7 linked regions of the Nothobranchius furzeri genome follow. The protein of the gene in region 1 purifies or fractionates together with the protein of each later gene. This does not show direct contact. Links are inferred from orthologs where the notes say so. Each region holds a gene or a part of one and is shown in the gene's direction. Other genes may lie near its edges.

What was found.
Region 2: the proteins of ruvbl2 (region 1) and eapp purify together in Homo sapiens (affinity purification with mass spectrometry; 3 studies listed by BioGRID and IntAct, with this or other methods). This does not show direct contact. The link is inferred for Nothobranchius furzeri from reciprocal best matches to the Homo sapiens genes RUVBL2 and EAPP.
Region 3: the proteins of ruvbl2 (region 1) and wdcp purify together in Homo sapiens (affinity purification with mass spectrometry; 6 studies listed by BioGRID and IntAct, counting the BioPlex papers as one, with this or other methods). This does not show direct contact. The link is inferred for Nothobranchius furzeri from reciprocal best matches to the Homo sapiens genes RUVBL2 and WDCP.
Region 4: the proteins of ruvbl2 (region 1) and nopchap1 purify together in Homo sapiens (affinity purification with mass spectrometry; 4 studies listed by BioGRID and IntAct, with this or other methods). This does not show direct contact. The link is inferred for Nothobranchius furzeri from reciprocal best matches to the Homo sapiens genes RUVBL2 and NOPCHAP1.
Region 5: the proteins of ruvbl2 (region 1) and nop58 purify together in Homo sapiens (affinity purification with mass spectrometry; 5 studies listed by BioGRID and IntAct, with this or other methods). This does not show direct contact. The link is inferred for Nothobranchius furzeri from reciprocal best matches to the Homo sapiens genes RUVBL2 and NOP58.
Region 6: the proteins of ruvbl2 (region 1) and dkc1 purify together in Homo sapiens (affinity purification with mass spectrometry; 5 studies listed by BioGRID and IntAct, counting the BioPlex papers as one, with this or other methods). This does not show direct contact. The link is inferred for Nothobranchius furzeri from reciprocal best matches to the Homo sapiens genes RUVBL2 and DKC1.
Region 7: the proteins of ruvbl2 (region 1) and rpap2 purify together in Homo sapiens (affinity purification with mass spectrometry; 3 studies listed by BioGRID and IntAct, with this or other methods). This does not show direct contact. The link is inferred for Nothobranchius furzeri from reciprocal best matches to the Homo sapiens genes RUVBL2 and RPAP2.

What each region holds. Positions count from the first base shown.
Region 1 is NC_091750.1:65,678,013-65,682,068, forward strand, and holds the start of ruvbl2 (ruvB-like 2), read left to right. Parts: upstream 1-1,256; 5' UTR 1,257-1,328; intron 1,329-2,038; coding exon 2,039-2,093; intron 2,094-2,213; coding exon 2,214-2,269; intron 2,270-2,598; coding exon 2,599-2,740; intron 2,741-2,845; coding exon 2,846-2,975; intron 2,976-3,060; coding exon 3,061-3,127; intron 3,128-3,260; coding exon 3,261-3,367; intron 3,368-3,457; coding exon 3,458-3,551; intron 3,552-3,629; coding exon 3,630-3,848; intron 3,849-3,938; coding exon 3,939-4,056. UniProt on the Homo sapiens protein: Possesses single-stranded DNA-stimulated ATPase and ATP-dependent DNA helicase (5' to 3') activity; hexamerization is thought to be critical for ATP hydrolysis and adjacent subunits in the ring-like structure contribute to the ATPase activity.
Region 2 is NC_091758.1:7,754,136-7,758,320, reverse strand, and holds the start of eapp (E2F-associated phosphoprotein), read left to right. Parts: upstream 1-1,385; 5' UTR 1,386-1,493; coding exon 1,494-1,573; intron 1,574-3,122; coding exon 3,123-3,301; intron 3,302-3,479; coding exon 3,480-3,593; intron 3,594-3,660; coding exon 3,661-3,769; intron 3,770-3,846; coding exon 3,847-3,975; intron 3,976-4,185. UniProt on the Homo sapiens protein: May play an important role in the fine-tuning of both major E2F1 activities, the regulation of the cell-cycle and the induction of apoptosis. Promotes S-phase entry, and inhibits p14(ARP) expression.
Region 3 is NC_091742.1:21,824,876-21,827,457, forward strand, and holds the end of wdcp (WD repeat and coiled-coil-containing protein), read left to right. Parts: intron 1-26; coding exon 27-147; intron 148-1,769; coding exon 1,770-1,960; 3' UTR 1,961-2,082; downstream 2,083-2,582.
Region 4 is NC_091741.1:62,948,264-62,952,262, reverse strand, and holds the start of nopchap1 (NOP protein chaperone 1), read left to right. Parts: upstream 1-1,199; 5' UTR 1,200-1,277; coding exon 1,278-1,356; intron 1,357-3,108; coding exon 3,109-3,183; intron 3,184-3,289; coding exon 3,290-3,423; intron 3,424-3,999. UniProt on the Homo sapiens protein: Client-loading PAQosome/R2TP complex cofactor that selects NOP58 to promote box C/D small nucleolar ribonucleoprotein (snoRNP) assembly. Acts as a bridge between NOP58 and the R2TP complex via RUVBL1:RUVBL2.
Region 5 is NC_091742.1:74,286,167-74,290,414, reverse strand, and holds the start of nop58 (nucleolar protein 58), read left to right. Parts: upstream 1-1,448; 5' UTR 1,449-1,573; coding exon 1,574-1,618; intron 1,619-2,196; coding exon 2,197-2,273; intron 2,274-2,349; coding exon 2,350-2,402; intron 2,403-2,614; coding exon 2,615-2,739; intron 2,740-2,812; coding exon 2,813-2,949; intron 2,950-3,128; coding exon 3,129-3,193; intron 3,194-3,839; coding exon 3,840-3,974; intron 3,975-4,126; coding exon 4,127-4,248. Other genes in the region: FMR1-interacting protein NUFIP1, read right to left, coding at 297-528. UniProt on the Homo sapiens protein: Required for the biogenesis of box C/D snoRNAs such as U3, U8 and U14 snoRNAs. Part of the small subunit (SSU) processome, first precursor of the small eukaryotic ribosomal subunit.
Region 6 is NC_091758.1:16,263,635-16,267,676, reverse strand, and holds the start of dkc1 (H/ACA ribonucleoprotein complex subunit DKC1), read left to right. Parts: upstream 1-1,242; 5' UTR 1,243-1,321; coding exon 1,322-1,337; intron 1,338-2,254; coding exon 2,255-2,304; intron 2,305-2,383; coding exon 2,384-2,470; intron 2,471-4,031; exon of another isoform or gene 4,032-4,042. Other genes in the region: cinp (cyclin-dependent kinase 2-interacting protein), read right to left, coding at 585-612.
Region 7 is NC_091751.1:71,625,301-71,628,800, forward strand, and holds part of rpap2 (putative RNA polymerase II subunit B1 CTD phosphatase rpap2), read left to right. Parts: intron 1-1,049; exon of another isoform or gene 1,050-1,121; coding exon of another isoform or gene 1,122-1,128; intron 1,129-1,226; coding exon 1,227-1,272; intron 1,273-1,348; coding exon 1,349-1,451; intron 1,452-1,753; coding exon 1,754-1,852; intron 1,853-1,937; coding exon 1,938-2,003; intron 2,004-2,067; coding exon 2,068-2,156; intron 2,157-2,231; coding exon 2,232-2,267; intron 2,268-3,500.

The sequences.
Region 1 (4,056 bases):
GTGGAATCCCGAAAGCTGCACTTTTAGGGGGGAATTCTAATGACAGGAAGGAGATGAAAACCTGCTCCAGAAAGATTTGAGCACACTTTGCTTTACACCCTTTTTTTTTGCATTTCTAAAGGTATAAAAACACGAAATCTAACTTGTCAGAAGAAAACTTAAGGATGGAGTGCCAGCCAACTTATCTTATCAGATATTTTGATTGATATTCCTTTGCATTGATCACTGCAAGTTCACATGAACAAAAATTCCACAGCTTTAAATTATGAGCTTTGCTACCTCTGGTGGAGAAAAGCTTTTAGAGCTTTATTATGGCGTTTTCCATCAGACAATGTTGGCCTTCCTATGCCATGTGGATGTGTTTCTTTTTAATATAGAACAAAAATATATCTGATTAACCCTTCAAAACTTGAAATAAAAAACTTATTACATTTAAACTTACATAATAGTCACAAGATAATTTGAATGGTACGTGTGTATTTGAGAAATAACGTCCCTCACGTATTTGTTCCAAATGCCTTGGTTTAAAATGACTTATTTTCAAAATTATAGTATTTTAATGTGTTTTGTGCTTGATGCATTCTTATTCTCATTGCTTATTTGTTTAGATTATTTTAAGAGAAAGCTCAGTAGATTGCAATTGTTGTCATGTCATCAATTCACAACAGGACAATTCCATTTGAAAGTATATAAAAAAGAAAGTCACAAGAAAATGTCCCTTTATTTTTATTTTTTGCTTTCATTCTTGTTAAATGCACCAGCACACAAATGTCTTCTACCTGGATTACCTCTTTATAATTTTTTATAGTGTTTTAGATTTTAAAGGACCCCTCACTGGTAAGAAGACTTTTTACTCAAAGCAACTTGGAAATTTGTAACTAAAAATATTTTTGCTATTTCAAATGTGAATAGAATATGTTTTAATAGTTGTGCTCATCCTTTTTTAGCAATGGCTTATTATTTTGTATTTGAAATTTAAGAAAAAAGCGATTCTTTTGTTTCTACTGGTTTCCAATGAGAACATTTAAATGACGAAAACACGAAATGCACGGACCCAGTTCTACAAACATTCATTGAACGAGTTAACATTTATAAAATTTTGAATTAGCATTTTATGTACCTTTATAAGAATCGTGTAATGAAACGTATTTACCTCGTTAGTTTTGTCTTCTTGGTCAAAAACAATTCAGTAACAACCGATGGTAACAACGCTCCCCCATGTGCCCCTGTGAAAAAAAAACTACTTGTTTCTAGTCGGACGCATTTGCTCGGTGCACTTTCAGAAAGGAGCGCCTCGTTCTCACGTTTCGGTGAGTGTAGTGGTGCAGGTGAGTGAACACGCTTATTATAAAATAATATAAAATTCAAACATATTACAGTTTATGCTGCCCGATTGCTGTTGTCTGTGTAATTTGAAGAAAGTCTTATGATGTTGGAGTGTTTGACGTCCCCATTCTGCTTGTTTTGAATGTTAGCTTTAAATAAAGCGATGAATGAAGCTAGCTGTTTGCTAACACAACATTAGCCACGGAATGCTATTCTATTCCTGTTTTAACGCTGGCAATGTAGCCGCACATGTTTCGGTATGTTACATAACTAATGTGGTGGCAGTTAAAAGTTTTCTTGCTTTCACGTATGACATTAATATTTGGAAAGTGATCGAAACTTTGTATTACGCTAGCTAATGTATTGTAGCGCATGGGTTATAACTGTCACTATGACAACCAGCTGGACAGAACAGACCTCTCAGACGTTTTCTGATCTAGCAAACAACATAAATATCGTTTTATTGTGGTACATTATTTACTAAAAGGTGTGTCTCATTGCCAAATCAAGTTTTGGATCTGATCTTTACCGTTTTAGTATGATCAGGTTTACACATTAACTATTGTTTTTAATAATTTGACTTATTTTGAGTCATAATGTGAGATACAGACAAATAACTGGTCAGTAGAAGTTGCATTGCTTAATTATTCAGAAACGTAAAACAATCTACTTAATATTACAAGTTTTTCTTGTTGTGTTTCACCTGATGCAGATGGCGGCTACAAAGGTTCCAGAGGTTCGTGATATCACACGGATTGAAAGAATTGGTAGGTGTGGACGTCTTGAACCGTTAACTAATCAAAAAGCTAATTTATCATAAGGGTGTATGATGCTGCTAGTTGTGTGTGCTCTTTATTTTTCCTTCAAATCCACCTTTTTGCGTTCAGGGGCCCATTCTCACATTCGGGGCCTTGGCCTGGATGATGCTTTGGAGCCAAGACAGGTACTCTTGTCTCTGATTCATTTGCTGTGGACTTCCTGTTCATGCTCTCTAAAGAAACTCTGTTAAGTCTTTTAAAAGAAAAAAGCTGTTTGTAAAATGTGTTGTTTGGTTACTACTAATGCATATACTTTGCTAGAACTGGTTAAACTGAAAATACAGTAGATAGCCTGTGTAACCTCAACATCACATCACTTCAGACATTTTCTCTTATATTATCTACCAACACTTTAGAATATTGAGCAGTGTTGTTCTTTTAGGTTTAGTTAATTTTCCAGCATTAATGTGTGTGAGGTTTTGTCTGAAGGAGACTTGATCCTCTTCACCTGCAGGTTTCTCAGGGGATGGTTGGACAGCTGGCTTCCCGTCGGGCAGCAGGGGTCATCTTGGAGATGATCAAAGACGGCCACATTGCTGGCAGGGCGGTCCTGATCGCTGGCCAACCTGGCACGGGAAAGACTGCCATTGCAATGGGTGAGAGCCGAGTTGGAAGCTGTCCATGGATGTAAATGTTTCAAGTTGCATTTTGTTTTGAATCAAGAGTTCCTGCATCCTGTTCCTGATGAGCTTGTCTTATAGGCATCGCACAGTCTCTCGGCTCAGACACGCCCTTCACAGCTCTGGCTGGTAGCGAGATCTTCTCCCTGGAAATGAGCAAGACCGAGGCACTGAGCCAAGCTTTTAGAAAAGCCATTGGAGTGAGGATCAAGTGAGACAGCGGTCACAGATACAGCATTATTTAATTATTTTTGTATGAAATGATTTGCCTTTGACTGTTTTTTCCGTATTTACAGAGAGGAGACGGAGATTATTGAAGGAGAGGTTGTGGAAATCCAGATTGATAGACCGGCCACCGGAACGGTGGGATACTTTCTCTAATGTTAGCTAGTAGTCTCAGAATTTATTGTCTCCCACTTTCTGTTAGCTTAAATACATTGATGTTATTCTCTTTGAAGAGTCCTGTTTAATAAAAATTATATTTTCTTTCCGTCAGGGTGCAAAAGTAGGCAAGCTGACTCTAAAGACGACAGAGATGGAGACTATCTATGACCTGGGCAACAAGATGATTGACAGTCTCAGTAAGGAGAAGGTTCAAGCTGGGTAGGTTCTGTTCGCACAACAAGACTCTCTAGTCTCGTTTTTCTCTGCTGGAGCGACGTTAGAACAAATCTATTTACTCTGTTTTTACAGAGATGTTATTACAATTGATAAAGCCACTGGGAAAATCAGCAAGTTGGGTCGCTCCTTCACCAGAGCCCGAGACTACGACGCCATGGGCGCTCAGGTGTGATGCCACTGTATTCAGATTGAGGATGCAGGTTGACTGATTGCTGGATTATTTTCTTTGTTTTGTCTTTTGTAGACCCAGTTTGTCCAATGTCCGGAGGGAGAGCTGCAGAAGAGAAAGGAGGTGGTACATACGGTGTCCCTCCATGAGATCGATGTCATCAACAGCCGCACCCAGGGCTTCCTGGCTCTCTTCTCCGGAGACACCGGAGAGATCAAGTCCGAGGTCCGGGAGCAGATAAATGCCAAAGTGTGCGAGTGGAGGGAAGAAGGCAAGGCAGAGATTATTCCCGGAGTAAGTTTTAGTGTGTGCAGATTTTTGAAGTTTGGGGTTTCTACCTGCTTAAACTACATAACAAATCATTTTGTTTGTTGTTTTTTCCAGGTGTTGTTTATCGATGAGGTCCATATGCTGGACATGGAGTGCTTTTCCTTCCTGAACCGGGCCTTGGAGAGTGACCTTTCTCCTGTTCTCATCATGGCAACCAACAGAGGCATCACCC
Region 2 (4,185 bases), on another chromosome or scaffold:
AATCTGAGATGTGAGAAGTAACTATCTTTTATACTTTTTATTTGTAACCTAAAACTTTTTTAACAATTAAAACATTACAGCTTGTTTAGGGGGATTAAGTTGGTACAGGATTTAGTTTTTACCGTAATGCCGTGAAATGTTAACATTGTTTTTGCTGGTGTGCTGCTGCATTAGGCTGTTGTTAACTAATATATACATGCACTCTCTACTTTTGGATTTTTCTTTTTAAAGACTTTTGAGACTTCTTCTTTTGTTTCATATATACATACATACATACATACATACATATATATATATATATATATATATATATATATATATATATGTATATATATATGTATATATATATATATATATATATATATATATATGTATATATATATATATATATATATATATATATATATATATATATATATGTATATATATATAAATATATATAAATATATATATATATATATATATACATATATATATATATATATATATATATATATATATATATGTATATATATGTATGTATGTATGTATGTATGTATGTACATTTATATATTTATATATATATATATATAAATATATATATATGTATATATATATATATATACATACATTTATATATTTATATATATATATATGTATATGTATAAATATGTACATACACACATATATACATATATATGTATGTATATATGTATTTATATATGTATATATATATATATATATAAACGAAAAACACTTTAAATCTTTTAATGTTTTTATGATCTTGGACACAGATACATTTATTACATATGTTTTCGGAAGGTTGCAGGTTCGAGTCCCGCTCAGTCTGTCGCTGTCATTGTGTTCTTGGGCAAGACACTTAACCCACGTTGCCTGCTGGTGGTGGTGGGAGGGACTGGTGGCGCCAGTGCTCGGCAGCCTCGCCTCTGTCAGTGCGCCTCAGGGCAGCTGTGGCTACATCGTAGCTCTTCCCCACCAGTGTGTGAATGTGTGTGTGAATGACTGATTGTGTTGTAAAGCGCCTTGAGGGGTTCCATGACTCTAGAAGGCGCTATATCAAATACAGGCCATTTACCATTGATAACATCACAAATATATTTCAACACAGATGTAATTTTTCATAAATATTCTATAATTTTACATGTGTATTATCACAAATATATTTCACAGCTTAGTGGTTCTTCATCACAATTATAATTAAATTTAAAGTGGTAATTGTGAAAAATTATTTACGTAATAATTAGTGTTATTATGCAGATTTCGCATACATTTCTATTTTTGTATTCGCACTGAGCAGGAATCGAACCCACGCAGTTCGACTCCCGGACAAAACAGTTTAAAAAAAAACTGCCTCAACCCTCCAGTCCACTAGAGGGCGCTAGGGTAGTTTGGAGTTGGTTTTCCACCAAGTGGAAAGGTGACATAGAACTAGTCGTTTTCTGTCACTACGTAGAAGTAATTATGTTCCCATAGTTAAACTTTCAGCCGTCAGAATGAACATGCTGAATAAATCACAGGACTTTGACTCATATGAAGTCGAAGAGCCAAGTGACGAGGAGCGGGCAGCGAGCAGGTAGGGATCAAATAAACTACGGTTTCTAACATTAGCATCGTGGCTAGCATCTCCGGTGTTCTACATGAACTAGACATCAGCTCAAATGGTGTGTGGTGGATGCATCGGACATAGGTGGCTCATCAAAGCCTGATCAAAACTATGCGAATGTAAACAAACTGTTCATAAACGTAATTGATGTTGGTATAAACGCGAGTAAAGCATGTTGCCTTCTATCTTATGTGACATCTGTTTGTGAGCAATCGTTCTAAAATAAAAAAGAGGGTCAAAATGATCACAACTGAAACAGCGTTGAGGCGCGTTAAGGTGAGGTTGGTGTTTTAAATTAACTGGTGATTCGTCCCTTTACTGGTTCAAACAGCCTGTTTATTATGATCCATGGAAATGAACATGGATTTAAGCTGCTTGGTTTGAACCCACACGGGCTTTTAGAAACTCGTTTTCTTGGGTTAATTTACGACAAAACTAGAACGAGAGTTTTGTACATCTTGTTAAAAAAATAATAGAGCAGACTTGTACACTGTGGTCCAGATGAAACTCAACACAACTTTTATACAGTATTATTAAAACACTGTCGACGAGAAGAGATGCTAGTACATACTCAGTCCGCTAACAGATTCACTCTCTCAGAAGAACTCAAGACCTTATCCCACTGAATCCAAGACCCCAAGGCCACAATGCCCCGAGCATTATCTGGTTGTTCTGCTCTGGTGTTTCTGTTTTATGTGACCTGGACTCATAGAGTTACTTGGCTGAAATATTTTCCCGTTGCATGTGATGTCATACTACTCACTGGAACACCTCTTTCTTCGTGGTGGAAGTGAAGGGAACAGTTTGTCCAAAAGAAGCTAGTTTGTAGCCTTATATTGTGCTTAGTTTGTTGGTATTGCTGTAAGGTGGTTATCGCTACTAACAGACGAGCTTATAAACTCAACTTGTTTTTATTTTAAATAACTTTGATGGGAACGGAAGATGGAGACGGACAGCAGCTGTCAATCACTTGTGTAGTAATAGTTAAAATAAGGGATGCAGCACCAGTGCTGCTCATTTGTTTTGTCGGGTAGATTTTCAGTCATCTCTAGGGATGTAAGACAATATCGATATGGCAATATATTGTGATATTTTTTCCAGCAATATTACATCGATATTCAAAAGCCGTGTATCTAATTCTTGAAAGAATTTACATGCAAACATTTGTGTATTTTCTTTTCGTTTTGTGCAATTTAATCGCCGCCCGCTAGTTTGCAGCAGTGTGCAACAGGTTTTGTTTCCACCATTGAAATGTAAATCCCTCCATCATGGTTCAGATACCTCATGTTAAACATGTTACGTATCAGTTTGGACTGTTAAACATTCTTACAATAAATTCAGTAAAAAAAATTGCTTGTAACGTCTGACTGAATGTATCGCAATATATCTTGATATATCGTATCGTCTCCCCTGTATCGTGATATGTATCGTATCGCCAGAATTTCAAAAGTACACATCCCTGGTCATCTCAGACCAAACATTTGAGGTTTTTTATTTTCTTCTTGTGGTTGTGTTTCAGTTCAGAGGATGAGCTGGATGTGCTTCTGAACGGGACAGCAGAGCAGAAGAAGAAGCTGATCAGAGAGTATCTGACGGGGGAGAGCGAGTCGTCCAGTGAGGATGACTTTGAAAAGGAAATGGAGACGGAGCTCAGCTCCACCATCAGGAACATGGAGGGAACCTGGGCACCAGCAGCTAGTAGGACACCAACAAATGTTATTATAACTAGTTTAGTTGGACCAAGGAAATTGTGTCCTGTTTTGGACGTGGCAACTAATGATTGTGTGTGATTAAATAATCATTGTGGCCCTCCGCGACTGCTATGAAATCATTCCTGAGAGTTTAAGTGGTGGTGATGAAGTTTCTCTTTGTTCAGACAGCGGTGGTGAAGGAGCAGGTGCCGGTGGCGTAGGAGGTTCCAGTGTTCCCAATCCACCGATGTATGACGAAGTTTACTTTGATTCTGACTCAGAGGACGAGGACACACCAAGTACGACGTCACTTTACACGACTTCATCTTCACTTTGATTTTGGTTAATTTCACCTGTTTGTTACAGGCAGCTCTACCAGCTGGAAGCGGAGACAGCGTGTAGTTCCTACCAATGATGAGCTGTTGTATGACCCAGACGAGGATGACAGGGACCAGGCTTGGGTAGACGCCAGACGGTAGTTCTGTAAAACACTGCCACTAGTACTTTTTTTGTCTTCTTGTAGGCCGTTTACCCATTTCTGTTCCTGTTCAGGTATAACAGCAGAAAACAACCAAATGCAGCCTCCCGGTCCAAATCCGGCCAACCTCGGTGTTTACCCAACAGTGATGCTGTTCTCAACTGTCCCGCCTGCATGACGACGCTCTGCCTGGACTGTCAGAGGTCAGGCACAACTATCCTGCTGTGTGTTCTTGTTGATTGTGTCAGCTAGCATGAACCAAAAACAAAGTTGTATGGCAATATCACAACGGGTTGCACTAATGTTCCCTAGGGTGCACGACACATCACAGATGGGTCCATATCATTTACAGTGTCACGCATGTATCAGAGCACAAAGGGAACAATGGAGTTTCATCATTTTAGCTGCGTGTT
Region 3 (2,582 bases), on another chromosome or scaffold:
TGACTCTTTTCATCTTTGACATGAAGAAGCAGCTATCAGAGAACGTGTTCATTGATGAGAGGAGGCCAGTGCTGCTGTGTGAGGGGAGGCTCTGTCTACGGGTCCTCCAGGACCTCTTCAACCTCCCCATCGTGGAGATGATGTATGGTACGTGCATCACTTCACTGCCAGGTTATCGGCGTTCCAGAGGGTACAGGGTTAATTAATGGAAACCTCTGAGGAAACTCCCTCCGGTCCCTTTAAGCAGGTCTTCCTCCTGCCTTAATTTTTAGAACACTTCCAAGATGGGCTTACCTTGCTTGGGTCAGTGTTAAATGTTCCGTTGTTCTCCAAATGTATTTTTGTTGCTTTAAGAAATATATCATGAACATCTTTTTAACTTTGTAACTAAACAACTTGCTCTGCCATTGTTCTTCCATTAATGTACAGTGTTGGGAGTAACGCGGTACAAAAGTAATTAATTACTGTAATGCATTGCTTTTTGCTGTAATGTGGTAATTTAAGGCATTACGGGGAAAGAAAATGGTAATATTTACTCGGTACAGTTGTCAGTAACGCGGTAATTACGACGCATTTTTAAACCCAGAATAAAGATGTGGGTTTCCTAAAAATTCAAATTGCGGGAAGCCTGACAAAAGATCCAGTATCCACATATATGACGTCATTTATGGACTCAGGTTTGCGGGCATTCTATGAGCAGAGAGGATAATAGCAGCGGTAATAACTCAAATACTCCAGCCGTGTCCTGCACGCGGCCACTGTTATATTCACAAAATCGCTCCACCAAAACAAAGTCATTTGTTTGCGACCGTTTAAATCAGCCCATATTCTCTGGTACTTCATGTACTTTTCAGCTGAGTTCATAATCTGTGCGCCGGTGATTTCAACTCATTGCTGCTGGTTTGGTAGATCCCTTTGGCTGATTAGTTAGAAAGTAGAAAATCTAGGAAATTGTTTTTCTGGAAGACGGACAAAACATGCAGGAAGGTCAGAGAGAGAAAGGGCCGGAAAGTATTCAAATAAAATCAAGAAAACAAAACAAAGTGCTTGAAAAGAAAAAAAGTAGGTAGATTTATCCCCAATACACATTTTTACCAGTGAAAAGCAATAATATATAAGCATTTAACATTTATACATGTGATAGAATCAGATCACCCCAGAAGTCAGTCCCACATCCAGGGCCGTATCAAGGCATTTGGGGACCAAGGTAAATATAGGCTTGGAGCCGAGCCACCCCCCCCACCCCCCTCACTCCCTGCTCAGTTAATATAAGATGGCAGCGTGCTGAGAGTACAGATTGTTGTTGCTTTTATTTAATAAACAACCATTTTAAAACACCGTTATTATATCTGACTGTTTTTAACAGCAGCCCTAGCTCACACACCACATCACCTTCCACATATATGTCATGAGCTCACTGAGCGTCAGATTACCAGATTCATATTGAAGTTGTTTTGGTGAAAGTAACTTAAAGTAATGCAAAAGTAGTGTAATGCCTTACATTTTGAAATCAGTAATATTGTAATGTAATGAATTACTTTGTAACTTGCCCAACACTGTGATTGTATCGATGCTATAATTAGAAGCGATTAGGAGCCTAGGTCTGTTTACAAGGTTTAAAACAAAAGCAGCTTACCATTCCTAAGCAGAGGTTTTGTTAGAGACGAGCCATTCCTGAGCTAATACACACCCTCGTTGTTGCTGTCACAGTCTTACGTTTTGGGTCAAATCAACAAAGAATAAACAACAGTTTTGTGTATTTTTTCCAGGACCGTTGTGGATTGTACTTGTGGCAGATGCAGATGGATTTGTGCCTCTGACATTCAAGCCCAAAGGGGAACTGACCGTTCGGAACGGGAAGAGGAAAACTACTCTTCGGACTCCTGGAAGTCCAGACGATTCTTGCCCATCCAGTCCCGCTCCCTGCCAAAGTCCAACAGCACCCACCGAGGCCTCATAGTGACTCCTGGTGCACTTTTCTGAAGGGTCCTAAAGAGAGTTGCTGCTTTTTTTTTTTTTTTTTTTTTGCTTTGAACTTAAAGAGACAATGTGTAGTTTTTATCGTTAATCTCTGAAAATATCCAACGAAATGTTGTTGAAAATGAATTAAATGATGCCCAGTTGCTGAAATATTTTGGCAGCTTCATAACGTATAAAAGAGGTGCTGAAAAAAATTGATTCAAGTCTGAATCGGGATTCGTATTTATAAAGATTCAGAATCGATTCACAAAGATTCAGAATCGGTTCCAAGAACTGAAATATTTGGCATGTTACGGGTTTGAGATGAACATTTTTGATCTTTGTTAGGAGAGTCAGTACTCCGTTTACTTTTGTGGTCCCATAAATTGAAATAATTTATGTTTGAATCTGCTGATAAGAGGGCACTTAAATATAATTTTTTCCATACTCAGAAATTTGAGATATTCTCATATTTATTATATTAATTATATTAATGATCTGATTTTACTCCCAAAATGTCGAATTTTGTAGTTATGCTTCATAGTTAATTTAAAAAAAAATACAAAATGAGTAAAATTTGTTCGTGCCAGGGAAAATTAAAAAAGGAGCTTAATGTTATTCTG
Region 4 (3,999 bases), on another chromosome or scaffold:
GCAACTAGACAGGAAAAGAAAGTGGCCGCTGTGACAGATAAAGGTATGTTTTGAGAACTTTTAAGGATTTTCCTCCACCACCCAGGCCTGTACATCACATTTTAGCTCCAGTTTATGGTGATTATTCCGCTTAAGGTCTTCTAAAAACACAAGTAAGCTCTTACTGATCAATAACCACACCAAAATGTTATATAGATGTGTATAATGGTAGCTTTCTAACTCGGTGGTGCTGCTAGCTAGCTGTACAGGAATCAAAACAGAAGCAGGTAGGCTTCCTCGCGATGCGTTTGCGCGTGAGCCAGAAGAAACACCGACCGTCCGCACTTTAAATGTAAATACTTTTTAAATGCTTATTCCAGGAGTCAATTTATTTTCTTTTGTCTCAATAACGACTTACCTAATAGCGGAGGAGAATTTTCAACAAGAAGAGATACGAGTAACCTCTGACAGACAGGCAGCGAGAGCGGCGTCAGAGCAAATAGTGCCACCAAAGATGGGTAGAAAAAGAAGAGATGAGCAGCTTCGCTTTACATAAATATTGTGCCCATAATTGTTGCGTTTAAATGTTCTCTGCCACTGTGTGAAGATTTGAAATTTATATTTATGGAACAAAATACACACTTTGTCACGTGCACTAAAAACAACACGTTCGTTAGTTTTTCTTCATTAAAATCATCAAATATAATCCTAAATCAAAGTATCTGATTATTTAGAACTTTTACCTTTTACTATTTTTAATTAACCAATTTATATTATGTATAAAGTATACATATATATTTTTGATGAAGTCAATAAAATACCTTCAAATATATATATATATATATATATATATATATATATATATATATATATATATATATATATATATATATATATATATATATATATATATAAGGAGACAAGCGCCTTTTACTTCATGCAGACCAAATAATGTAAGAGTGAGACCTCTTACTATCATCTGCACTTCTAGCGTGCACTGCCAACACAGATATTTTGATGGGCGTGCGCAGGCGCAAATGAGGTCTAAAGTAAAAACAAACGCTTATTGACACAGATGTGAATGTTTTAAACCTGGCAGAAAGATAAACTGATATTTTAAACAACTGTGAATTAGTAAGTGTTTTGGGTCGCTTGCAGCCAGATGGAGCTAGTTGAAGTGGTGAGAAGTTTCTCCAACACTAGGTGGCGCTGTGGAAATGATCACACACACGTGTAGCTGTCTTGAACTGTGACCCGGATGTTGGTCTCGTCTTTCTAACACATGTACAGCAAAATAAATGCGCGGCTTACCTAAAATGGACCAAAACGCGAAGAAAACGACCTCACGGTCGCTGCTATCATGTGGCAACGAAGGAGGTTTGAATGTTTTTTCTTGTCTGAAAGTGTGGAGAGTTGTTTATTAAATATGTGCTGTATAATTGACAAACGGTGGTGTGTGTTCACCAACCCTGGTTTTATACACTATTGCCTTTGAGGAAATGTTTTAGCTTCAACTCTGTTAAGTAAAACAATGACATCTTGTCACGCTATTTTACTAGCCAGTGTTTTTAAGGATTTAGAGTTTTTCTTTGGACACCGAAGTTATCTTCTCACAATGGTGTCCAGTCCTGGTTCCCAAGGGCCACCATCCTGCATGATTTAGGCAAGGCAGCTTTATTTATATAGCACATTTCAAACGCATGCAATTCAAAGTGCTTTACAAAAGCAAGAACAGCAAACACAGTAAATCAAACAAAGAAATGTAGTAAGTAATTTCAGATTAAACAAACAGATAAAAGGCATGGTCAAAAGGGTAGCAGTTACAGTGCAGAAAGTGCAGCATAAGAAACATTTATCCAAAGGCTGATGACTACATGAATGTTTTTAATTTTTAATTAAAAGTTACTAGAGTTGGGGCACATTTGAAGTTATGAGGAAGTTGATTCAATCTGTGTGCAGCTAAAATGACCAAAAGCAGCTTAGCCCTGTTTGGTTTTGACCCGAGGTACTACCAGCTGAATGTTTCCCAAGCTTCTGAGAGCCTTGCTGGGCGTATATACTGGAAGGAGATCCGACATGTACTTTGGTCCTATACCATTGAGAGATTTATAGACTAGTAAAAGCACTTTGAAGTCAATTCTAGATGTGTATTTGATTCAGCACACCTGGTTTTAATAAGTGAGTGATCAACAGACTCCTGCAGAGTTTAATTATCCTCTGAGCAGGTGATTAAACCATTTTATCAAGTGTTTTTGAACAGGTAAACAACTAAAACATGCCTGATGGTGACTCTAGAGCGGTTGAGGGGGACTTGTAATGACTTTTAAAAAGTGAAATAAAGTAGAAAAACAACTATCAAAGCTATAGTTCTAACAACAAAATTGTCATGAATTTATAAGTATTAGCTGAAGTGTTTTTTTTATGCCCTGAATTCTTGTATCTATTCTTTTCTCATTTGTAGTAGTTTATTGTCAAATTACAGAAAACTGGGGCCACATGACTTGACAATTTCAGTTTTGTGGGTCTAAGGCCCTGTCTAGCCGGGGATCTGCCAAAACGTAGATATTTTTCTACGTTTTGGCCTGTCATCCACACGAAAACGGAGTTTTTTCACACGAAAACGGATCTTTTAAAAAACTCCGGCCAAAGTGAAGATATGCGTTTTCTCCGTTTTGGGTGTCTGCGTGTGGACAGACAAAACCGGAGTTTTATGGTCCGCAACGTCACTTTCCGCGACAGAAAAATGCTGACATCACGTGTGCGACCTGTGTTTACACTAGCCGACAGCATGGATGCCCTCAGAGCTGCGCTCGCTTTATCAATTGTCCAAGCGCTTTTAGCTTGTTTGTTTTTGCAAGCGGAATTACTGCTCCTTGCGGAAGACCACAGACGAAGGACGAGGTTAAGAACGGGGAAGTAATGCCGCCTACAGGTCTGGCATATCCTTAACAACGTATTTATCCGGGTACGTGTGGACAGTTTTTTTTTTAAAACGAGGTGGTGTGGATGCAAGTTTTTGGAGGGGCGGATATTCGTTTAAAAAAAAAACCCGGCTATGTGTGGACTAGGCCTAAGACCGGTCTTGTCTTAATTTTCTTAACTGAAGATGATTTGTTTATCTGCAACTAGCTCTCAGTGAGAAACTGCTGCTCAAACGAAAGGCTGGCAAGTCCCTGAAGACAGAGCGAGTCCCAAGAAGTAGCAGTGAGTCCTTTTATACAATCCCAACATTTGTTTGTAGGAACACCAAGCAAGGTCAACAGTTTGATAGGAACCATGACATGTCTGTCTGGTTTTGTTTGTGCGTCAGTGTTGGAGCGGCTACAGAACTTCCTGCCTCAGATGGCTGAAGCCAACATGAAGTTGACACAACAGATGGAAAAGGCTCCTCCGGGTCACTTTGATATTGAGAATGTGGACAAGGCAGAGAAGGTCATAGAGATGGTGAGTACCATTTTGCCACTCATTTAAAGTGTGACCTTTCTAGCCTCCAACAGAAGAATACATTTTGCACAAAAGCAGAATCTTTTTTTAAACAATGGCTGGGAAGATAAAGCTGGTTGTACACAGCTTCAGCAAGCCCGTTACTTCTGTCTGAACTTGTCTCGTAACCAGCTTCGGACATTCTGGGTGATAGTGCCCTGTTCTTCAGTGGATTTAAGCTTTCTTCCCTTTGCTATCGTTGGCTGAATCTACGATGCATAAGTCAGGTTTCTGTTGGAGACTTCTGAGTTTAAACATCAATTTACCAGCAATAATAATCGTTCCTACCATCCAACAGCAGATTTTCCATTTCATGGTGGTTATTTAGTGTGCGATGAGCTAATACATATAGAATTAGAACTATGGAAAGTGTCAGAAGCTTCGGTGATGCGTGTGCCATCATGTGCATCGCAGATCATCCTAAAAAGTTGAACTGGGACTGTCTAGGGCATGTCAGAATTATGTTTATTTTCTGGTTCCTGGTGTTAAAGGGTGGTCCAGAAACAATGTCCCACAGGACACCAACAGCTCTCAGCT
Region 5 (4,248 bases), on another chromosome or scaffold:
ATTTATTTATTCCGTTTTGATAATACCCATGTTGTAGGTTTTGTATTTCATTGAGCCTAACAGGCCACTGCAATGTAGAGTCTACTGTGGGTAATTCTGGTCTCATAATTAGTCATCATAAACTCAAATCCGTCTGCAGTCTCTTTTAGATGTGATCTCTAGTATTTCCCAACACACAATCATGTTAGATCATCTGGAGTTCACTATACAATAATTGTGGTTTTGATTGATTTCCATAATCAAGCATTCCAAACACAAACATTGAGAGAGGTGTCCTCTTTTAGAAACATAATCACCAAAGGTCTCACAGTGTGGATGGGTCTGACCGTGGTACCCTCCCGCCTGTCCGTGACTCCAGTTCGGACTGACCCAGTAGCTCCAGCTGGGCTCGGACGGCGTCTCTCCCCAGCTCCACATGCTGGGGTGGAAGCTGCTGGCCCGAGGTTGCTGCTGCTCCTGGGGCGTGTGGAACGAGCTTGGAGGGGGACAGCTGAAGTCTGGTGGAGGGTAGCGTTCTGGTTCGTTCATAGCTCCAGCTCCGGTGCCTTACTCAACGTTACCAGCCAGAAAACGGTAAAAGTTAGCTCAAGGTATTAGTCCACGCGCTCGTGTTTTGCCAGAGTTCACGCGTTCGTCACTTCCGTGAAAAAAGTGTGTTGCGTTTTGGATGATCGGAATTTCCTTTTCAATTTCTCAGAACTGGGATTTACAAGTTATCCGGATTACAACTGAAAATTAGATTTCCTACAAAAATATTTTAAAACAAATCTTCACACATCTGGAGTCGCCTATGTGCTTTAAAATTAGCTACATAAAATGTCATTCTTATATTACGGGAGTTTGTTCTCTTTTATTCTCTACTTGTTTGTAATTCTCCTTTTATTACATTTTGTTCTTTAAGTAACATCACGTATTGTTTAATTATATTATCTGTTTTATTGATCAGTCACTTTAATGATGGAATCATTAATAATAATATCGTTTAAAAGTGCGTAAACAGTTAGTTTGGCGTTAAGTTTTACTGTGAAAGCAACATACCGTGCTCATAACCTCTCGCGAGATTTGTTTGCGCGCATCTCTGGCGTTGCCAAATCAAATCCAGTTTGTGACATTTAATTAAAATGTATAAACTTTTTACTTTTTAACAAAATGAACATAACGATAATTTAAAAATAATAAGTAAAAAATACAATACGTGGTTTTACTATTTTGCTATGCGATCATAAAATAAAGGTGGTGGAATAAAAAGATGGAATTGAATTACATTTACTTTGTTAAAAGCTTTCAAGAACACACAAAACAACACAGTTGCATAAATTTATTATAGTTACTGTGTATGGCGTTTTAAAATACATTTATTGTTTTTAGAGTTAGCTAAAACACAAAGGAAATACTGACGTTTGGGTGATTTTGGTTCAAATTAACGGATCTGGCAACCCGGAAGTTTCCCCCTGCAGCAGCTCCTCTGCACCGCGTGCGGTTTCCGAGCCTCACCATCGCGGTGACTGACCGAGACGAAAACTGTCAGCTCTCTGAAAAGAGAGCACTTTAATAAAACAGAGCAGTTTCAAACATGCTCGTTCTATTTGAAACCGCCGCTGGATATGCGATATTCAAAGTGAGTGTTTCATTCTGTCAGTTTACCGATTGAAGTACGATATTTCGCTCGTATGTCTGTAGTTAGCCTCGATTAGCATCCTAATGTCACACATAAATTTGCCCTTAAGTAACAAGTTGGTGTTATTAGGGGAAATAAAACAACCGAGCTCTAAACGTGTCTGTGTGGGCTTGAATATGGCACCGTGTGCTTTCCTATCTCACGTGCACGTCTTCGTTTCTAAACTCAAATGCTAACATGAGTTAGCATGCTGTTAGGGGCCTGTGACCACGTGCGCTCCTGGAAGCTGGCTGAGTTTGATCTCAAACACAACAGAGAATGTAGTACACTCGCTCAATAAAAGGATAATTAATCCGGTCAGGTTATTGTAGAGTCGTTCCTTCTAAATGCACTTAAAGTGTGTTTGTGTGTTTGTGCTAGCAAAGTATCAAGAGCAATGTTGCCCATGTGGCTGTTTTTTTCGTTCAAGTCTATAAAAGACAGTTTGGCTCGGTGCAACACTTGCCATGCACAAGTTCCCTAGCTTCCAGCATACAGACGCTTTTATTGTCTGGTTGCTCAAGTTTATTTGTTTTTAGGTCCTAAATGAATCAAAGCTGCAGCAGGTGGACAGCCTGTACAAGGAGTTTGAGACTCCTGAAAAAGCCAACAAAATGTGAGTATGAACACGTCTCAGTACCCTCAGCTCAACACCTCACTCTGGGGGCTTACATCTGTTTTTCCTCCATCAGTGTGAAACTGAAACACTTTGAGAAGTTTCAGGACACGACGGAGGCACTGGCAGGTAAAAACACTCTGTTGTGTCTATGTTGGTGGTCTGTGATGGATTTCAGTGTCTGATAAAAGCATGAGGTTATCCACAGCAATCGTCACTACCACTGAGACCACCCTGTCCCTTCAGCCAGTAGATAAGAGAAGATGTCCAGGATAGGAGCAGGGATTATTAAAGTGTGCTTATCTAGGTTTAATCAGTTGTTTCTGACCTCTGCTGTGAAGCTGCCACCGCTCTGGTTGAGGGAAAAATCAGCAAAAGTTTGAAGAAGATCCTGAAGAAAGTCGTGGCCAAGGAGGCTCATGAGGAGCTAGCCATCAGCGATGCTAAACTGGGTGGAGTTATTAAAGTGAGTTTCATCCTTCTGCAGACGTCAGAAGATCTGTCTGTTAAAGATTTTCTGATCAAGTTTGTGTTCTTAGGACAAGCTGGACCTGAACTGCGTCTACAGCCCCGCAGTAGCCGAGCTGATGAGATGCATCAGGAGCCAGATGGAGAGTCTGATCTCTGGACTTCCTCCCAGAGAGATGAGCGCCATGTCTCTGGGCTTGGCTCACAGGTCAGGGTCACCCCGGGGTTATACTACAGCTGCTGCTGCTGCCTGTGATTACACATTGCTGTCTGAGATCCTCATGTAGATGTTCCCATCAGCATTCGTCACTACCACTGAGGCTGCCCCTGTGCTCCTGTTTATCGCCTGGTCTGTTGTTTATCAGCTAACACCCTCTCCTGTTGCAGTTTGTCCCGCTACAAGCTGAAGTTCAGCCCGGACAAAGTGGACACGATGATCGTTCAGGCCATTTGTGAGTGTTTCGCTGATGAAGCATCGTGTTGTTTTCATACAATATTAGTGATAATGACCCCTGAATGCAGCATTAGCTGGTTAGGGTTAGACATTAGCGGGCTAAATCTACAGAAACCTGTAGAAAGTAACTATTTTATTTCAGAAATTTCTTTTTTTTAGGATTTGATTGAATGTTCTCCCCTGTGAGGTGGATTAGTAATATTTCAGCCATTCTATAAAAAATCTGAATTTAAGAAATATCAAACTGTCAGTTCAGCCGAATGTTCATTTATTTTAAATAGAAAGATTTAAGTTAGTCAGATGATTAATATATAAATATTTATGAAGAAATTTAGTCTTTTGTCAGGATTTAACATAATGTCAGAGCACCCTTGATAATAATGGTTATTGATCTTATAAATATTATAAGAGGAAACTAAACTGACGTGATAAAAGCTTAAATCAGAAGTTCCTGGATACTTGGTTAGGCTGAACCTCACCTCCAGTGACCCCACAGAAGAAGCTAGTAGCAGCATCGCCGGGCCGTGTGGGTTCAGACATCTTGAAAAATTGAGGAAAGCCCAGTTTGTGTCCCTGGTGTCCTTTTCTGTGATCCTGGCTGTCTTTGTCCACAATAACCGGAGCTTGGGTGTTTTTGTCCTCAGCCCTCCTGGACGACCTGGACAAGGAGCTTAATAACTACATCATGCGCTGCAGAGAGTGGTACGGCTGGCACTTCCCCGAGCTGGGGAAGGTCGTCACGGACAACCTAGCTTACTGCAAAACCGTCCTCAAAGTCGGTAAGGTTCGTTGTTTAAGTAACACCTGGGCTGATGTGAAAAAGAGACGACAGCTTTTGTTTTAATTATCAAAACCCATAAAGGAAGGGCAATTATTTACCTTTTTACTATGAAGTGTCTTACTGATTGGACGGTCGTCTTGTCCGCCCCAGGTGATCGTACAAACGTGTCCAGCACCGATCTGTCAGAAATCCTCCCTGAGGAGATCGAGGCTGAGGTGAAGCTAGCTGCTGAGATCTCCATGGGAACAGAAGTATCCGAACAGGACATCGAC
Region 6 (4,042 bases), on another chromosome or scaffold:
TGACAGAAAAACCCAAAAGAACAGACTAGAGATCACCAAAAACCACACTGACGAGCTTCAGGGAGAGCATCATTTTGATTGATGAGATGGAAATCGGCTCTAGAAACACTGTAGAAGATGGAGGAAGATCAGTTCTGTTCTGGACTCACTGCACCTGGACCAAGGATTCCTGAAAAGGTTCAGGGTCCAATCCCAGGACCACCAAGACCCTCTGGAGCCAAATCTACTGTCCAGAGTCTATCATCAGAAAACACAGCTAGGAACACCGAGAATGGATCAGAACCAAGCACTGGACTGTTCTGAACTGATCTAGATGCTGTTGAACATCTGTGATAAGAGCAGAAACATCTGGAGAAAGAACACCTGGAGCAGTGTGGCCACGAGTAATGGGACAGAATACCTGCGGACAGGAACGATCTAAATAAGTTGTCCTAGTGAATGTTGATGAGGCAGCTGGGTTCTGCAGGGTTTCATTTACAACCCTGCAGTAAAACATCCACACGTCATCAGAATGTTTTAACCCGGAAGCTGCAGGTTATTCAGACCTGAACAAAAACTACTTCACTAATCAAGAAGATCCTCACCTTCCATCTGATCCTGAAGTTCTCGCATAAAATCCAGCTGAATTATGCTGAGTCTTCTTCTTCTTCGACGTTTGTGGGTGGTAGCAGTGCAGCATTACTGCCCCCACCTGGCCTGGAGTGGACACACGTTTATCAAACAATAAAAAAGGAAGTATTTTTATTGGATCTGCAGCTGTGGACACTCAAATTCCACTACGCGGAGATAGTGGGATTTTGGGGTTAACTGTAAACACTGATCCGTCCCGTCTGCCGTCCGGGTGGACACTGAGGTATTTATGTTCCTCCGCCACCTCCACCTTCTCTCCCAGGATGGAACAAGCATTTAGCATGTTCCCGTTTCTTCTAAAATCCGCAGTCATCTCATGTTTTTTCCGTTTTTTAACACACTATTGCACTAGAGGCCCACCAGTGATCTGTGTCTCACTACTTAATGACAGACTTATCTGACTCCAAATATCACTGGCCTTTTTTAGTGTTTATTTCCCCCCAGGATGCTAGTTAATTAAAGAAGAGCATTAGAACCACCGAAAGAAAAGTCAGAATTATTTTTCACATTTATTTTTTTCCATTTTATATTTAATTATGTAAAAATTGTATTTAAATAGCAAATTCATTTATTTATTTACCTCATTTGGTTTCATTTCTGCTCTGTGACCAGTTGGTGGCGGTAGTGCACCAAGTACTTTCGTGCCAGCCGCCATAAAACATCAAGCAGAAGAAGAATCTTTCATTAGAAGATGGCGGACGAAGCTGGTGAGTGTCGAGCACGTTTTGTAAGCGACAGTCTGTGTTTAATTTATTGCTAAGTTTGAACATAATTCTGCTGAGTCAGGGATTTTATTAACAACACGTCCACGTGCACGTACAAGCGTGTTTTACGCAGAAGGAATCGCAGTAAAAAAAATTCCTAAGTTGGTCTATGAGGAGGTTTGGCAGCGTCTGAGCCAGTTAAAACAAACAAATCCCTCCACGTGTCCAACATGCTTTAGTAGTTGGGTTTAATTCAATAACAGAACTAAGGGTTTGCTCTGTGGACTCGTGTTTTCTTCATAAGCTCCAGCAGCGTTTAGTGTAGTTAACTTTGAGAGAGCGGGTTCTCGGTCAGTGGCCTGTTAGCTCCGCTAGCAGCCACGTGCGCTCCACCACGTGCTGCAGCTGCAGGCCACGTGGGCTCTATATCATTCATTTACAGTTTTCCAAATTTACCAAACTGCAACAGGGATTTAAATTTCTGTTCCTTCAGATAAAATACTTTCTTTCGGTCGTACTTTTTCCACTGAAAGGCCCTTTTGGGCTCAGAGTTGCACTGGAGCAGGGCCCATCTCCAGGGCCACCATGCTGCACGTGCTGCAGGTTTGCTGCTCCTGCACACATGAAGGTAATCGCCTGGATAAACCTGTTGAACACTCTTTTAAAAAGCAGGTGTAGTATGGTCCCTGGAGTTAGTGACCTTTAACCTGAGGTTACCTGGGACCAGTAACCTGTTATAATGCAATGTTCAGTTCCCGGTGGGCATGAAGACTCGTCTAGAATATTGGTGAACACTTGAGCAGTCTGGCTAGTGACAAAACACCACTTAGGGCCCGGTAGATTGTTGTTCTCTGAGAAAATCCTGGAATTCTGATTTTAGGAAGGATTTATGCTACTTTAGTTTGGTTTTTATTTTGCAGCATCCACAAAGAAGAAGAAGAAGTCGAAGAGAGTGGCTGAAGATGTTGGGGTTGGTGTGAATTTATTCAACTTAAGATCTATTTGGAGATTCTCTTCCTGTTGAACAAACTGATGTTTTTATTCAACAGGAGATCCAAGAGAGTCAAGAGTTTTTAATCCAGCCAGACACCAAAGTCCCCACTTTGGACTCCTCCCAGTGGCCCTTGTTATTAAAGGTCAGGAACCCCTCCTCCTGTTTGTGCCTGCTGACATGTTTGACCCTGGTCATGTGATATGATGAACTGGTTTATCCATTCTCTGAGTGCTGTGGGCCTGTTGTGGTCTTTGCTTCTGCTCCGTTCTGGATCAGAGCTTCTCCTGCGGCTGCTAGAGGGGTCTCGGCGTTCTGCCTGACCACGACCAGTAGCCGTCTGGGGAATGACCCCACTTGACCACAGCCAAGACGACCTCCTATTCTGATCACATTGACTCTGTGCTATAAAGCATTTGTTATCTGCTCTGTTTAGTGACATGTTTGTGGTTTCATCTGGTGTAATGAGTTGACTCGACTAGAACCCTGTTGGAATCGGCTCTAGCTGTCAGACAAGCGTTTCCCCTGGGAATTTTTCCGGTGGTGGTGCTGGGGGGAGAATGATTGACAAGTCTCACCTTTATGTTAATATTAAAAACCCTTCTACACCCCTGCTTAGTAGACTTAATGAAGTATTTTTAAGCCAGTATAAAAATGACTGAAACAAAAATTTACATATTTGGCATTATTGACCCATATCTTTGATTTAATTTGTGTTAAGAACATCAAGATGCATTACAGTGAACATTATAATAAAGTAAATTTTTCTAGTGCAGAGAGGAGACAACCCATAGAAGCACTGATTTGATCTCATTTCAGAGAAAAATAGAACAGGTTAGATGCACCTAATAAATAAAATTACTAACAAACTCAGGAATCTGTTTCTTTGCTTCATTGTTCTGGTGCTGAAAATATCACTAATGCGGATCAAAGGAGATACACAGATGAATGCACCTCTTATTTATTATTTGTAAATTAGTGGGTGTGGTTTACATCAATGCATTATTTTAAATCTGAAATTGGATTGATCAGAAGTTGATATGTGTATTGTTTATCTGAAAACTATTTACAGAGCAGCCTCAGAACTGAGATTAAATATTTTTGATCACAATAGTAAAGAAACCATTACAGAACAAGTTTTTCAGTAAAATCAGAACATTAATGTTTAAGTGCATGAATAAATGCATCTGAACTCATGCAGTAGGAACTAGGAAATATGAAATACTAGAATTTATTTTAATTTGATTAAACTGATTTTTTCCTCACATTGTTGGCATTTTTCCCACACACGGTTAAACAAAACTATGTTGACTGAGGTGTGTGTGTGTGAGTGAGAGAGTTAAAATAAATACATTAAAAAAAAAACCTGAGCGGAGGCAGTGACCGACGCATGCACAAGCCGTTTTCAGCTCTGTCTTGTCTAGAGCTGAAACAACTAATCGATTATAATCGATTATTAAAATAGTTAACAACCTTTTTAGTCATCGATTAGTTGTTTAATAATCATATTTTACCGCATAAAGTCTATTTTTTACCACAATCTGACATCGGTTACAAGCTGTTAAATTTGCCGCCAGTGTGTGGCAGTAATGAGCCACTGATCTACCAGTGGAGCCGTAGAAGAAGAAATGAGCCAATGAGTGCCCTCGGTTTTCATGACGTATCACGTTACTGACGCTCATCTTGCTGTGAGAGATGGCGGAACAAGAGGAAATAC
Region 7 (3,500 bases), on another chromosome or scaffold:
TCTGTAGTTCATCACCTGGTCCTTCTGTAGTTCATCACCTGGTCCTTCTGTAGTTCATCACCAGGTCCAGGTCCTTCTGTAGTTCATCACCTGGTCCTTCTGTAGTTCATCACCTGGTCCTTCTGTAGTTCATCACCAGGTCCTTCTGTAGTTCATCACCTGGTCCTTCTGTAGTTCATCACCAGGTCCAGGTCCTTCTGTAGTTCATCACCAGGTCCTTCTGTAGTTCATCACCTGGTCCTTCTGTAGTTCATCACCAGGTCCAGGTCCTTCTGTAGTTCATCACCTGGTCCTTCTGTAGTTCATCACCTGGTCCTTCTGTAGTTCATCACCAGGTCCTTCTGTAGTTCATCACCTGGTCCTTCTGTAGTTCATCACCAGGTCCTTCTGTAGTTCATCACCAGGTCCAGGTCCTTCTGTAGTTCATCACCAGGTCCTTCTGTAGTTCATCACCAGGTCCTTCTGTAGTTCATCACCAGGTCCTTCTGTAGTTCATCACCAGGTCCTTCTGTAGTTCATCACCTGGTCCTTCTGTAGTTCATCACCTGGTCTTTCTGTAGTTCATCACCAGGTCCTTCTGTAGTTCATCACCTGGTCCTTCTGTAGTTCATCACCTGGTCTTTCTGTAGTTCATCACCTGGTCCTTCTGTAGTTCATCACCAGGTCCTTCTGTAGTTCATCACCAGGTCCTTCTGTAGTTCATCACCAGGTCCTTCTGTAGTTCATCACCAGGTCCTTCTGTAGTTCATCACCCGGTCCTTCTGTAGTTCATCACCTGGTCCTTCTGTAGTTCATCACCAGGTCCTTCTGTAGTTCATCACCAGCTCGCAGCAGAAGTGTCAGAGCAAAGCTTGGGAAGCCGCTCACTTCTCCAGGTTTCAGCACCTTAGAGGACCTCTCAGGAAACGGCTTGGTCCAGTTTGTGAAATAAATGATTAAAACGTTCATTCTGTGTTCACTGCTGTGGTCTCAGCCACCTCTCCTGATGAGGTTGTATCAATTAACCGGTTTCCTTTAATCCAAACCAAGATGTCTTTGCTTCCACAAAGACTTTATCTTCTGTCTGACCTCACGAGAACAAGAGCAGCACGCCTGTAGATCTGCCCTCGTTCATCGTGTAGATGATCGGTAATCATTCGTTCTACTGGCGACAACATTTTTGTGTTTGTTTTACTACTCCTGACCGTGTGTGTGTGTGTGTGTGTGTGTGTGTGTGTGTGTGACAGGTGGGAAACCCCATCCAGCTCTGACGGCTGAAGAAGAGGCTCGAAGGTCTAGAACGTGTTCTTCTTGGTGGACGTGTGCACGAAGCCTTCTGGTGTCTAACATGAGTCTGTGTCTCGGTCAGGAGGGAGGTGGTGCGGGAGAGGCTGGAGCTGGAGAGAAGAGCCGTGAAGGTGGTGGAGCGCCTCCTTGAGAGCAACGTGTCAGAGGACGTCCTGGTTGACTGTGTACATGTTTTTGTTGTTTATGCACATAAACAATGATGTTTTCCATCTTCCCCTCTCGCTGCCCCTCACCCGGGACTGGGGCCTGTAACTGGGCTCCCAGACGGGTCAGTTCCCGGTCCAGACTTGAGCCCATCCTGGGTTCTCCATCCGACAGGACATGTCTGATTGGCTGTGAAAGCAGATGATTTCTGCTGCTTGTATTCGGTCTTGGCTCTCCTCACAACATCACTGACCCCTGAAAGTAAAACGACGCCACTGAGGCTAAGATGACGTTACGGAAACGGTTTGTTGTGTTTTTACAGGCCAGGCTCATCACCGCAGCTAACTACAGAGATGCTGTGGAGGAGAGGTTCCTGGCTAAGCTGTGTGGTTATCCTCTTTGTTCAACAAAACTGGGCAAGGTCACTGAAGCATAAAAACTCCTAAGTCTCCATGTTTGCTTCCTTAAACTGTCTCACACACACACACACACACCTTGTTTTTCAGATCCCCACACAGCGGTACAAAATATCCACTCAGACAAACCGAGTTTATGACATCACAGAACGGAAGGTGGGTGCTTTCACGTGCAGCTCTAATGTTCCGTCTGCATGTTGACGTATTTTTGTATTTGTAGTGTTTTTGTAGCAACTTCTGCTACAAGGCGTCTAAAGAGTTTGAGCTTCAGATATCGACGACTCCTCTTTGGCTCCGGCATCATGAGAGGTGTGCTGCTGGTCTTCCTGTACAGCTTCAGTACACACCAGCAGATACTAACCGTGTGTCTTCTGTTCCTGACAGTCCTCCAGAAGTCACGCTGCTAAAGCCAGGAGACCGGTATGTCCTTTGGTTTTCTTTGTTACTCTGAACAAAAGCAAACGACGACACTTTTATGTTTGTCTCTTCAGAATCTTTAAAGGGACTTTACGGAGTTTTGAATTTTTATGCTCGCGATCGCCCCCTCAGGCCAAAAGCGTAACAGCAGCTTCAATAGTAGAGGCGTGCATGCTGTACGTGCACACTCCTTAACGAAAATAACAGCTGAGACAGTCCTGTGTGTGTGTGTGTGTGTGTGTGTGTGTGTGTGTGTGTGTGTGTGTGTGTGTGTGTGTGTGTGTGTGTGTGTGTGTGTGTGTGTGTGTGTGTGTGTGTGGCCCAGAGGACAGGAGAACGTGCAGCTAATTAATTAAATAATGTGGTTTTGTAGCTTTCTCTTCAGCACAGCCGACAAAGGTTTATGATGGGTCAGTCCTCCTGCATGCTCAGATCATTCCCTTCCCTTGCTTGAAAAATTGTTCCCAAATGAAAGTTGAACCCACATCTTTTTTATCTGTGAATTCAATGCCGTTCGGCGAGTCTCAAATAAAAATTTGGGCATCTTACTGTAAAAAAAATATACCATTAATGTAGTAAAAAATAATCTATGTTCACATCCGGAATCAAACCCGGGTCTTCTGCACGAGAGTTCAACATCTCACTAGGTGAGCTAGAGCACCAGTGACGTCCCTTGTATCTGTAACATTTATGTCCTTGATGACAGCTGAAACAACGTCAAACCAAAGAACGGTTCGGAGTGAAAATGGCTGTTTTGTTGCTAATTAGCAGGAAATATCTAGAAGAAAGTTCTACAGAAAGTAGCTAAGGGTCCTCAGAAATGTAGCTAGCTTTGTCACTAGGCGTTAGGAACAGCGACAAAGTGGCACTGCCTCTCTCTCTGCTGCTAAAGCTACGGATAGCAAATGCTACGGGCGATGCCTGAGCGTGAACGCGCATGAAGCAGCCTGCTCGACCCGAGCATCTCTCTTTTTCTGTGATTTTACAGAAAAACAGGCAATCACAGTAAAAATGCCAGGGCTCATTCTACAGGACCAGGGCATTGCAGGAGAACGTATGAAGAAGACATTTATTATTTCTATACATGTTTTGGCTGTCACACTTCCATAATGCACCTTTAACTAACATCTATTGGTGAGCGTCCTATTCACCACACTTTACTGGTCAGACCAACCCACGAGGAATCTGGTGTTCTGGCTGTGTCCTGCAGACTCCTCCTGAAGTGCTCCAGCATGT